2 linked regions of the Callithrix jacchus genome follow. The protein of the gene in region 1 interacts with the protein of each later gene in a biochemical or structural test. Links are inferred from orthologs where the notes say so. Each region holds a gene or a part of one and is shown on either strand. Other genes may lie near its edges.

Region 1 (4,486 bases):
GGAAAACAAGCTAAAATAAAACCATATTACAATATGTATTAATAAATACTTTGGCCCAACCATTCTGAAAGGCATAATGAGGTAGTCAGATGCTTATACCTACTTCATTAAGCTTGGATGTGGGAGGACACAGTGTGCAGTTGGATATTGTAAACACTTTCTAGTTGACATTTCAAATTGAGGGTTAAATAATATGTATGTGTCTACAAGTACATGCAGAATCACCATGCACAACAGCAAACTGTTCAGGGTTATAGGGATGTGATTTATCAGCAACAGAGATCCCAAACGGCACTGATGTTGATTTTCCAAAGTCATGAAGCTTCCTCCTGGTGAAGTATTAAATGAAGCAAAATACCATCTTCTCTTAATTTACACAGTATTATTATGTTGATTTTCCATAGTCATGAAGCTTCCTCCTGGTGAAGTATTAAATGAAGCAAAATACCATCTTCTCTTAATTTACACAGTATTATTCTTGAAATGTTCAATGTGTATTAGAGCCACACAAAGTCTTGGCATTTATGTATAAATTGAAGTTGAATCCTGGACTCAGATAACTGTAAACAGGTACTGCATATACATGAATGTCCAGTGGGATCTGTGAAGATGGTGCAGGGTGTAGAATGACTCATCACTATATCAAGCTGTTTTTTGCATGGCAGGACATTCAGCATCTCTGACTCCTGTCTCTTGAATGCCTGTAGCTCCCTTATGATCATTGTCATAATCAAAAACATCCCCAGCCATTTTTTTTTTATTATTGAGATGGAGTCTTGCTCTGTTGCCTGGCTGGAGTGCAGTGGTGGGAATTCAACTCACTGCAACCTCCACTTCCCAGGTTCAAGTGATTCTCTTGCCTCAGCCCCCTGAGTAGCTGGAACTACAAGCACATATACCACACCCAGCTAATTTTTATATTTTTGGTAGAGACAGGGTTTCACCATGTTGGCCAGGATGGTCACAATCTCTTAAACTTGTGATCCACCTGCCTCGGCCTCTTAAAGTTCTGGGATTACAGGCATGAGCTACCGCACCCATCTCCCAGTCATTTTGAAAATGGCCCCTGGTGGGCACTGGTGGCCCCATGTAAAACCACTGGCCCAGCAAGTGTAATGTCTAGGACTTCTTCCAAACTCCAGCAGTGCACTGCCCTGCTGACCGTCTTTCCTTTCTGGCTGCTGTTCCAGGCTCAGCTGATTGCACAGTCCATCGGACAGGCATTTAGTGTGGCATACCAGGAATTCCTCAGGGCCAATGGGATTAACCCCGAAGATCTCAGCCAGAAGGAATATAGTGACCTGCTCAATACCCAGGACATGTACAATGATGACCTGATCCACTTCTCCAAGTCGGAAAACTGCAAAGATGTGGGTACTTTCCTGAAGCTGTTCTCCAAGCTGGGTCAGCTGGGCAGGGGCCTGGAAAGGGGGACACCCTGCTGCGAAAGTGAAGGCAGATCAAGGGTTAGGAGTGAGGTATTGTCAGGATATCGTGAAGATACTCACACCCATCTCTCATTCCCTGCTTTGGGGCCCTGTTGTGAAATGCTGTCGTGGACAGGTGTAAACACAGAGGCAGCACATCCTCTGCTCCTGGTCATCCTGAGCTAAGGTCATCCTGATCTAAGTTTTGGCTGGGTCACAGATGCAGATAGGACCTGAAATCTGCCTGTACAAAGCCTTCAATCTAGGTAAGGGCACTGAAAAAGCACTAATCAAAGCCAACTACACTTGGACAAACAGAGATCTTGGGTTTTAGAGAAGAGATGCTGGGCTCCTCTGGGGATGTCTTGTGGCTTCAGACTGAGCTCTTCAGAAGTGCCTGTAAGAAGATGAGGCCATCCGAGCTGGTCTGGAGGATTGGGGATTATAGAGGAAAGCCAAGGGTAGGGTCTATGGAATGGTTGGAAGCCTGGAGGTCAGAAGGCTCCAGATTTATCTGGGAAATGAGGAAGTATGGTTTGGCTAGAGCAGGAGGTGGGCACAGGAAAGGAGATAGATGGACCTGAGGTCTGGGTCAGGACTGGAAGGCCTACAAGTCCTGCTGAGAGGTTTGGACTTGATCCCATAGGTAAAAAGAACTTTTAATGAGAAAGTGATCATTTGATCCACTGGGGTCTGTCAGGTGTCTTAGGTCAGATTCCCCAGAAGCAGAGCCTGAGGCAGGGATTCTTGTTGCAGAAGTTTACTGAGAGAGTACCTAAGAACAGAAGGGATATGGGAAGCAGGGTGGTGGGACACCAAGGAAGGGTGTGGTCCCCTTGGCATGAGCTTCCTTCTGAGCCAGAGGGAAGCTCTAGGGCACAGATCGTATAGGACAGATTTGTCTCACCTTGAAGCGAGGGATCTGGCAAGCCTTTGTACACCATGCCAGTCATTGACCAAGACTACACAGTGGGTAATGTGAATTTATTAGGGCTGCTATCACAAAGTACCATGAACTGGGTGACTTCAGCAACAGAAAGGTATTGTCTCACAGAACTTGTGGCCAGAAGTCCGAAAGCCGGGTGTTAGTAGCGTTGGTTCCTTCTGGAGGCCATGAGAGAAGAGTCTGTTCCAAGCCTCTCTCTTTGGCTTGTAGATGGCTCTCTTCACCCTGTATCTTCACATCATGCTTTCTCTATGCATGTCTCTATGTCCAGATTTCCTCTTATTTTTTTGATACCCATGACAGACAACCATTCCTCTTCTTATGTAAGGACATCAGTCATACTGGATTAGTGCCCCTATTAATCACCTCATTTAAAATCGGTTACCTTTGTCAATACTTTTTTTCCAATAAAGGCACAGTCTAAGACACTGGGGATTGGGAATTCAACATACAAATTTTGGGGGGACACAATTGAACCTTAACAGATGTTTCTCGTTCAACTAAGGACAGTTCTCCAGGGAAGGGGCTGAGTGTGAGCTTCAGCAACTAGGGGAAGCAGACACCAACCTGTGAAGGGGACATTGTCAAGCCCTCCAAAAATACACATGCATGCTCTTTGTTGGATGCTTCCAGTAGGTGTGTTACCTTTCTGTGGCATCTCTGCAGGCCTCCCTCAAGTGCAGGTATCCAACATCAACTTCTGTCTTCTCTGGCCTGGCAATGAAGGTTGTAAAAACGTCTCTGTATCCAAGATATGCACTTCCTCTGTGCACACCCAGCCTTTTGATTGTGTTAACTTCAGCATCACTTTTTTCTCAACTTTCCCCTTGAAGAGAAGTGTTTCTGTATGTTTATTTATTTTTAATTCAAGACACTTAAATGTCGAAGAGAATTGGTGAAGCACTGTGGGAGGGCAAACCTGTGCATGAATTTGAAAAGCTATTTCTAGAAACCATAACACACCAACCACCCACAGATCCCCTTCTCCTGCCACTGAGGACTGAAGAAATTTAAAAAAAAATAGTGACCCTCATGGTTGTGCGCTGAGGCAAGTTTGCTTATGTGAAACAAAAGTGAATTAAAAGAGTGTAGATCTGGGTGAATTCATTTCTTAAAATCTCCAAATGTGCAGAATGCCGAGAAGATGAATTCATCTGGGTTGGAGTCCCCAGGGAAGTGTCTTTCTTTAGTCAAGACAGGAATGGGGGAGAGGCTTTGATTTCTACCTACCCCAGATGGTTACTGATGCAGGCTTTCTAAATGTCTCCTTCCAGGTTTTCATAGAGAAGCAAAAAGGAGAAATCCTAGGTGTGGTGATTGTGGAGTCTGGCTGGGGATCCATCCTCCCCACCGTGATCATTGCCAACATGATGCATGGTGGCCCTGCAGAGAAATCTGGGAAGCTGAATATCGGTGACCAGATCATGTCCATTAATGGCACCAGCCTGGTGGGCCTGCCTCTGTCCACCTGCCAGAGCATTATTAAGGTACCTGAATATGGGGAAAATCAGCTTCTATGGTAGACCTGAAGTGATGTGAAGTGTGGCCTCCATCCAGTCATTAATGTATATGAACAGGCACCAAGAAAGACATAAACACAAAAGACGTGGACTTGCACTCAGGAAGCCTACCATCAAGTTACTGTTTAGAGATTCTTCCCTGAAATTCATTTAGATCAGGAGAAGCATATTTGATTCACATGACACTACTTTCTGATAGCAGCACGTCCATCACAGGCATCACTAGTCAATCACAGCGCACTCCCACTAAGCCCAGACTCAGCCTCAACAGAAATGGCCTCAGCTCAGGAATCTAATCACTAGTAGCCAGATGCACTTGGCATGATTTACCATCCCTGTTAAAAAATCACCAAAATCCTTCAAATCTGAGAGCACTTTTTCCTTCTCAGTGGCCCTGACTATGATGCAGGTGAGTTTGTCCCTCCTCAGAGCCCAGGTAAAGCAACTCACATATGCTAGTTGCTAGAAAAAGAAGGAAACTCTTTTCAGTCCATGGATGCTTTTTCATACCTGAGCATACTTCCTGTTCAATCTGAACTGATACTTATAAGGCTAAAAAGAGCTACTTAAAGGAAAATTAAATGTGGATATTT
Region 2 (5,042 bases), on another chromosome or scaffold:
AAGTCTCACTCTGTTGCCCAGGCTGGAGTGCAGTGGTGCAATCTCAGTTCACTGCAACCTCCACCTCCCAGTTTCAAGTGAATTCTCCTGCCTCAGCCTCCAGAGTAGTTGGGATTACAGGTACCTGCTACCACACTCTGGTAATTTTTGTGTTTTTAGTAGAGATGGGGTCTCACCATGTTGGCCAGGCTGATCTCGAACTCCTGACCTCAAGTGATTCCCCCCACCTTGGTCTCCCAAAGTGTTTGCTTTGTTTTCCTTGGGCCTAAGTTTTTTGCTGCCACTGATAAGGGTCATAAAGGAGGTATACCCTGATTTAGGGGCAATAAGTCATGTAAAGAACGGTGAAACTGGAGTCCAAAAAAAAAAAAAAAAAAAACAAGTCCAGTCTTCAGCATTAACTTACTAACTCTATGACCTCTTTGACTCATTTATAGTCCCTGTTCTTGTTTTCTCTTGTAAAATAGGAAAAGAAAAACTATCCATTCTGCTTTGTTTGCAGGCATGAGCCAAATAAGTACGTTTAGTTTTTATGGGTATTTCTGTCATTTCCCCACTCTTTCATCATTCCATAAGAAAATGTTGTTAAAGGCTTATGTATCTTCCAGTTTGTAATTACCAAGAGGTGCTTGAGAACTCCAGGATTTCCATTTCTATAAAATCTAGCACATTATCAGTAAAACCTCTTGACATTTATTTTAAATAGATTATTTTTCTGCTTTGAACCATGTGACATGCTTCTTGTTATGTGTTAGTAACTCCATTATTTAGACATTTTAAAATTCCATTCAAGAAATAGTTGTATCCATGGACCAGCCATTCAAAGAGCAATTTTTCTTTAGTCATTGATCTTTCGAATTCAACTTTACTCCTCTCTCCTTTAAGCCACTTGAATTACATTATCACATTGCTCAGTGTTGGCGTGAGTGTGTATGCGTGTGTGTATGTGTAAGGGGGGTCCCTTTCTTCAGTATTCCATTATTTGCTACTTTGGGCCTTTTTGGAAATGTTATTAAAATTTTTGATTATAGAATGCTACTGCATAGTCACAGCATGATTCATTTGTCAAAATAATTCTAGTCAAAATGTTTCATTTGTGGATTTGTACACCTGAAGGATTAAAATAAGAAATGTTAATTTCTTGCCGACTATAACCAGATAATTTTAAATATCTGCCAAGCAGGAATGTCTGTTCCCATGTGAGGAATTTCCATAATAAAATCCTGGCACCCTCGCTGAAGAGTATAGTTGTATAGAAACAGAGAAAAACAACAGCAAGTTATTTTCCCCGAGGACGGTTTTAGCTACAATTTCCCAATGCTGCTTGGTTATTTCTGTCTTATTTTATGCTTTTGTTTTGAAACATAATGCAATTTTACCTGGATGCACTCCCGGATAATCAGGAATAGCTCAGTATGTTGCCTGGCTCTGCCAAATGCAGGATCTCCAGAAAATCAGAAGGCTCCACCGCCTGGTCCCTTCCCCCACCCACACCTCCAGCTGGGAGAAAAGGGTTAAGGATTATTGGAAAAAAGAGGAGAAGGGAGGGAGCCCCAAGGAGGCCCACGAGCGGGAGGCCGCACCTCCGGGAGCGGCGGAGCTCCGAGCCCTGTTGTGTGTTTGGAAGGAAGGATACTGCTGCCAATTTCTGGGACCGCTGCTGCGAGGAGTGGGCGTGGCCTCGGCGATGTGGATGCTTGTTAGGAAAGATGCTGAGTGCTTTTCAGTGAGGAGTCAGGGCGGTGTGTGTGTGTGAGAGAGAGACAGAAGAGAGAGAGAGAGAGAGAGAAGGGGAGAGAGAGACGGAGAGCAAGAGAAGAGAGGGAGGAGGGAAGGAGAAAAAACGGAGGGAGGTGAAGAGGAAGGGAGGGAGAGAGACAGAGACCTAGAGGGGCTGAAGACCCAGACAGAGCTGGGAGAGCGACTGAGAACAGGACTGGAGCGCTCCGAGAGCCTCTCAAGATCTTTTGGGGGAGCCCAATAGATGTGAACATGGGATCTGTCACGGGAGCTGTCCTCAAGATGCTACTTCTGTTATCTACTCAAAATTGGAACAGAGTCGAAGCTGGGAATTCCTGTAAGTATACCGCAAATGATTTAAAACTTGCAGGGGGGCTCTCTGCAAAACTTTGATTCTGTTGTTTTGGTGATGATGATTTGCAGCTGGGATTGCTGCAAAGCATATTGCTGTAAACGAAGCATCACTTAAAAATCTTGCCAATGTGACCGGTTAACACTTGTCTCTCCTCTGGATCTGGTCAAAATAGGCAAAGTGTCATTTCTCTTTTTGTCTACTTGCAGAATCTTACCCTCTGGTCTTTGAATATTCATTGAGAATGTCCAAGTTCTAGTAAAACATGAAATTAACATCTTATCTTGGGAATAGCCTGTGAATGTCTTGATTTCTTCCTCTTTAAGGAACTACTGAATTTTATTGGAATTATGTCTAACAGGAAAACAACCATCAGACTTTACATTATGCTGCATTGGCTTAGATTTCTGAAGTTTGCAATTGGGCAGACCAGTAGCTGGCTGCATCTTTAAAATGATGCAGGCTAATAACTGAAATGTACTGCAGACTTGAGGAGCACCAGCTCTGGCAGAGGCAAATCTCAGTATTAAAAGCTGTGCCCTCGCTGCTATGAGAATGAGACTTAGCACTCTCCTGAAAGAGGGGCCTCTTCCTACATTTTGCTTAAAGGAAAATTGGTCAGGTGATCTTTCAAAAGTAGGATTATTTCATGGTTGAGTGTTTAACTACAAAAATTTGTAATTGAATGTTCTGATGAAATACAATGCATTCAGGGAAGATTGAAACCTTATTTACAGTTGAGATATCATCCAGAATAATTTGGCAGACTCCCTTTGACCACTCTTCATTAAAGATAGAAAAAGTTTTAAAAGTTACCTTTGGCTTAAATTTTTTAAATGGGAGATTTTCCCCCTCCTGATGAATGACAAACAAGTTTGGCAAATACAACTTTTTATTTTTTCTTGGATTTTAAAGTAAAACTTATTTGCTTTTCAAGAAAGGGCTAGGAGGCCTGTCGAGGAATTTATGGTGCTGCTGTATCATCAGATTCAGATTTGGGGAACAGAAGCAGTCATCAGGCATTTGCTGTGGCACATCACTTGACTATACTAAAGAGCTCTGATGTGGGAAAAACATTACAAATTCATGGGCACAAATCAAATGTCGGCTCATGGAGCCTGGCTCCCGCGATTTCATGTTTCCATTCAGAATGAGCTCATTTAATGTCACAGGGCATCCATCACTCTGAAAGAAGGGAACTTCACTGCAGGTGCTGCACATTGGATTCAACTTTAGTTTGAATGTTGTGATAATCTCATGAATCAGTAAATTGTGTATAATTTCACCAGTCAAAACCTTGGAATCTTATAACGGTAGCATTTGACAAACATTTCGACATACATGCAAATAACGACAAGACAAATGCCCACACACAAATGGAAGTTGTGTAGAAAAGGCATAAGTAATTCATCTTCCAACCACTAAAGTTCAACTAAAAAGAAATGCACTAGAGGTCACTCTTACAATGTAAAGCACATCACCCCAAGCATTCTTCCCTCAAGAAAAGCAGAGCTTAAATCTGGCCTCTACTCAGTTCAGTCTTTCATTAGACTGCCTGTAGTTGGGTTTATAATATACTAATCTAATTAATCGGGCTGCTGGTTGTTTATGTTTGTTTTCTTGAAGCTGAATAAAAAGTGTAGGATGTACATCAACATTAAATAGCTTTCTTTTGCAATATATCTTCTTAGAAAAGAAAAGATGCTTACAAAGATCTGAGGAGAGTTTAATATTTATGACTGCTTGGCTCTGGTTGGATCCCCCACTGAAACTTAACATTTCTGTGCTGGTTCTATATTCTTTCAGCCTTGGTGTGTTTAGGAAGTAATCTAATGCTCTTTTAAACATCTTATGAACTTGCAAAACCTATACAATTTCTCATTATAAGGAACATTTAAAGTTGGAGTTCTTGGTTACCATACATGTGGCATTGACTGTTGACTTCAAGTGTCAAAAATAAAATGAAATGAAATGACCTTCTATAATTAAAGTTGCACTTAGTAATTTCTTGTGAATATTTTCACAGTATGATTTGCAGCAGTATGTGTAAAAGAAAATATTTCATTTCTCAATTTTTATTTCATTTTTCAATATTTAAGAAGCATTTTCTTTTTGGAAGAAGTAAGATCTACTTGTACCAAGCCATGCTGTAAAGCCCTTCATATGTTTCATCTTTTTTGAAAGAACAAGTGTATGTATGTTTTCCAGCAAGATTGGGAATTTAGTGTAAGACAAGCCACTGTCAACCAGCATATGTATTTTTAAAGTATTATGATAACTCCAGTAATTCTTCTGGACAAGACTATATTAACAGAAAGTGAATCAGTCTTGAATACCAATAGTAAAATCAGAACGAACTGAATATAAATGAATAAAATTAAAGGCCTATCTCTCAAGTGACCACCAAGACCTTTCCCCTTTATTTACATCTGATGAATCAGGAGCAAATCTGTCATCTACAGAGTCAGCCAAGGTTGCCAATTTGAAAGCTTTCATGGGACAGAACTCTGCCAAACCAGTACAGCTCAGGGATTAGGTGCACTTTAATTTGAATGTTAATTGCTCCAATTAATCAGCAGGGAAATTTTACATTAGAGGGATTCTGTTCAAAGACAAACATATATATTCACATATATGTATATGTGCTCATTTTTATATAGGTATATGTGTATATAAATATCTATAAACTGCTAGACTCATATGCTTGCATATTTTTGGTGGCCCTGTTAAGTTCTTATCTGTCTAAAGATGAAATACGTTCAATGAACCGTATTCTCTACCTACTTGTACCCTGTCTGACATTTCAAGAGCAGTGAACTATTCATAACTTTTTTTCCTTTGTTCTCATCAAGATGAGCTTTTTGAATTATATTGAAGTGTCCCTTTCATCAAAGTTTAGAGATGGATGTAGAAGGGCATACTCTTTGAGAAGCCGCCCTGGCTATTCTTG

What was found.
Region 2: the proteins of APBA1 (region 1) and CNTNAP4 form a complex in vitro, tested with the Homo sapiens proteins (2 studies listed by BioGRID and IntAct, with this or other methods). The link is inferred for Callithrix jacchus from reciprocal best matches to the Homo sapiens genes APBA1 and CNTNAP4.

Annotation. Positions count from the first base shown.
Region 1 is NC_133502.1:95,472,842-95,477,327, forward strand, and holds part of APBA1 (amyloid-beta A4 precursor protein-binding family A member 1), read left to right. Parts: intron 1-1,190; coding exon 1,191-1,370; intron 1,371-3,647; coding exon 3,648-3,860; intron 3,861-4,486. UniProt on the Homo sapiens protein: Putative function in synaptic vesicle exocytosis by binding to Munc18-1, an essential component of the synaptic vesicle exocytotic machinery. May modulate processing of the amyloid-beta precursor protein (APP) and hence formation of APP-beta.
Region 2 is NC_133521.1:33,671,007-33,676,048, forward strand, and holds the start of CNTNAP4 (contactin-associated protein-like 4), read left to right. Parts: upstream 1-1,718; 5' UTR 1,719-1,992; coding exon 1,993-2,077; intron 2,078-5,042. UniProt on the Homo sapiens protein: Presynaptic protein involved in both dopaminergic synaptic transmission and GABAergic system, thereby participating in the structural maturation of inhibitory interneuron synapses.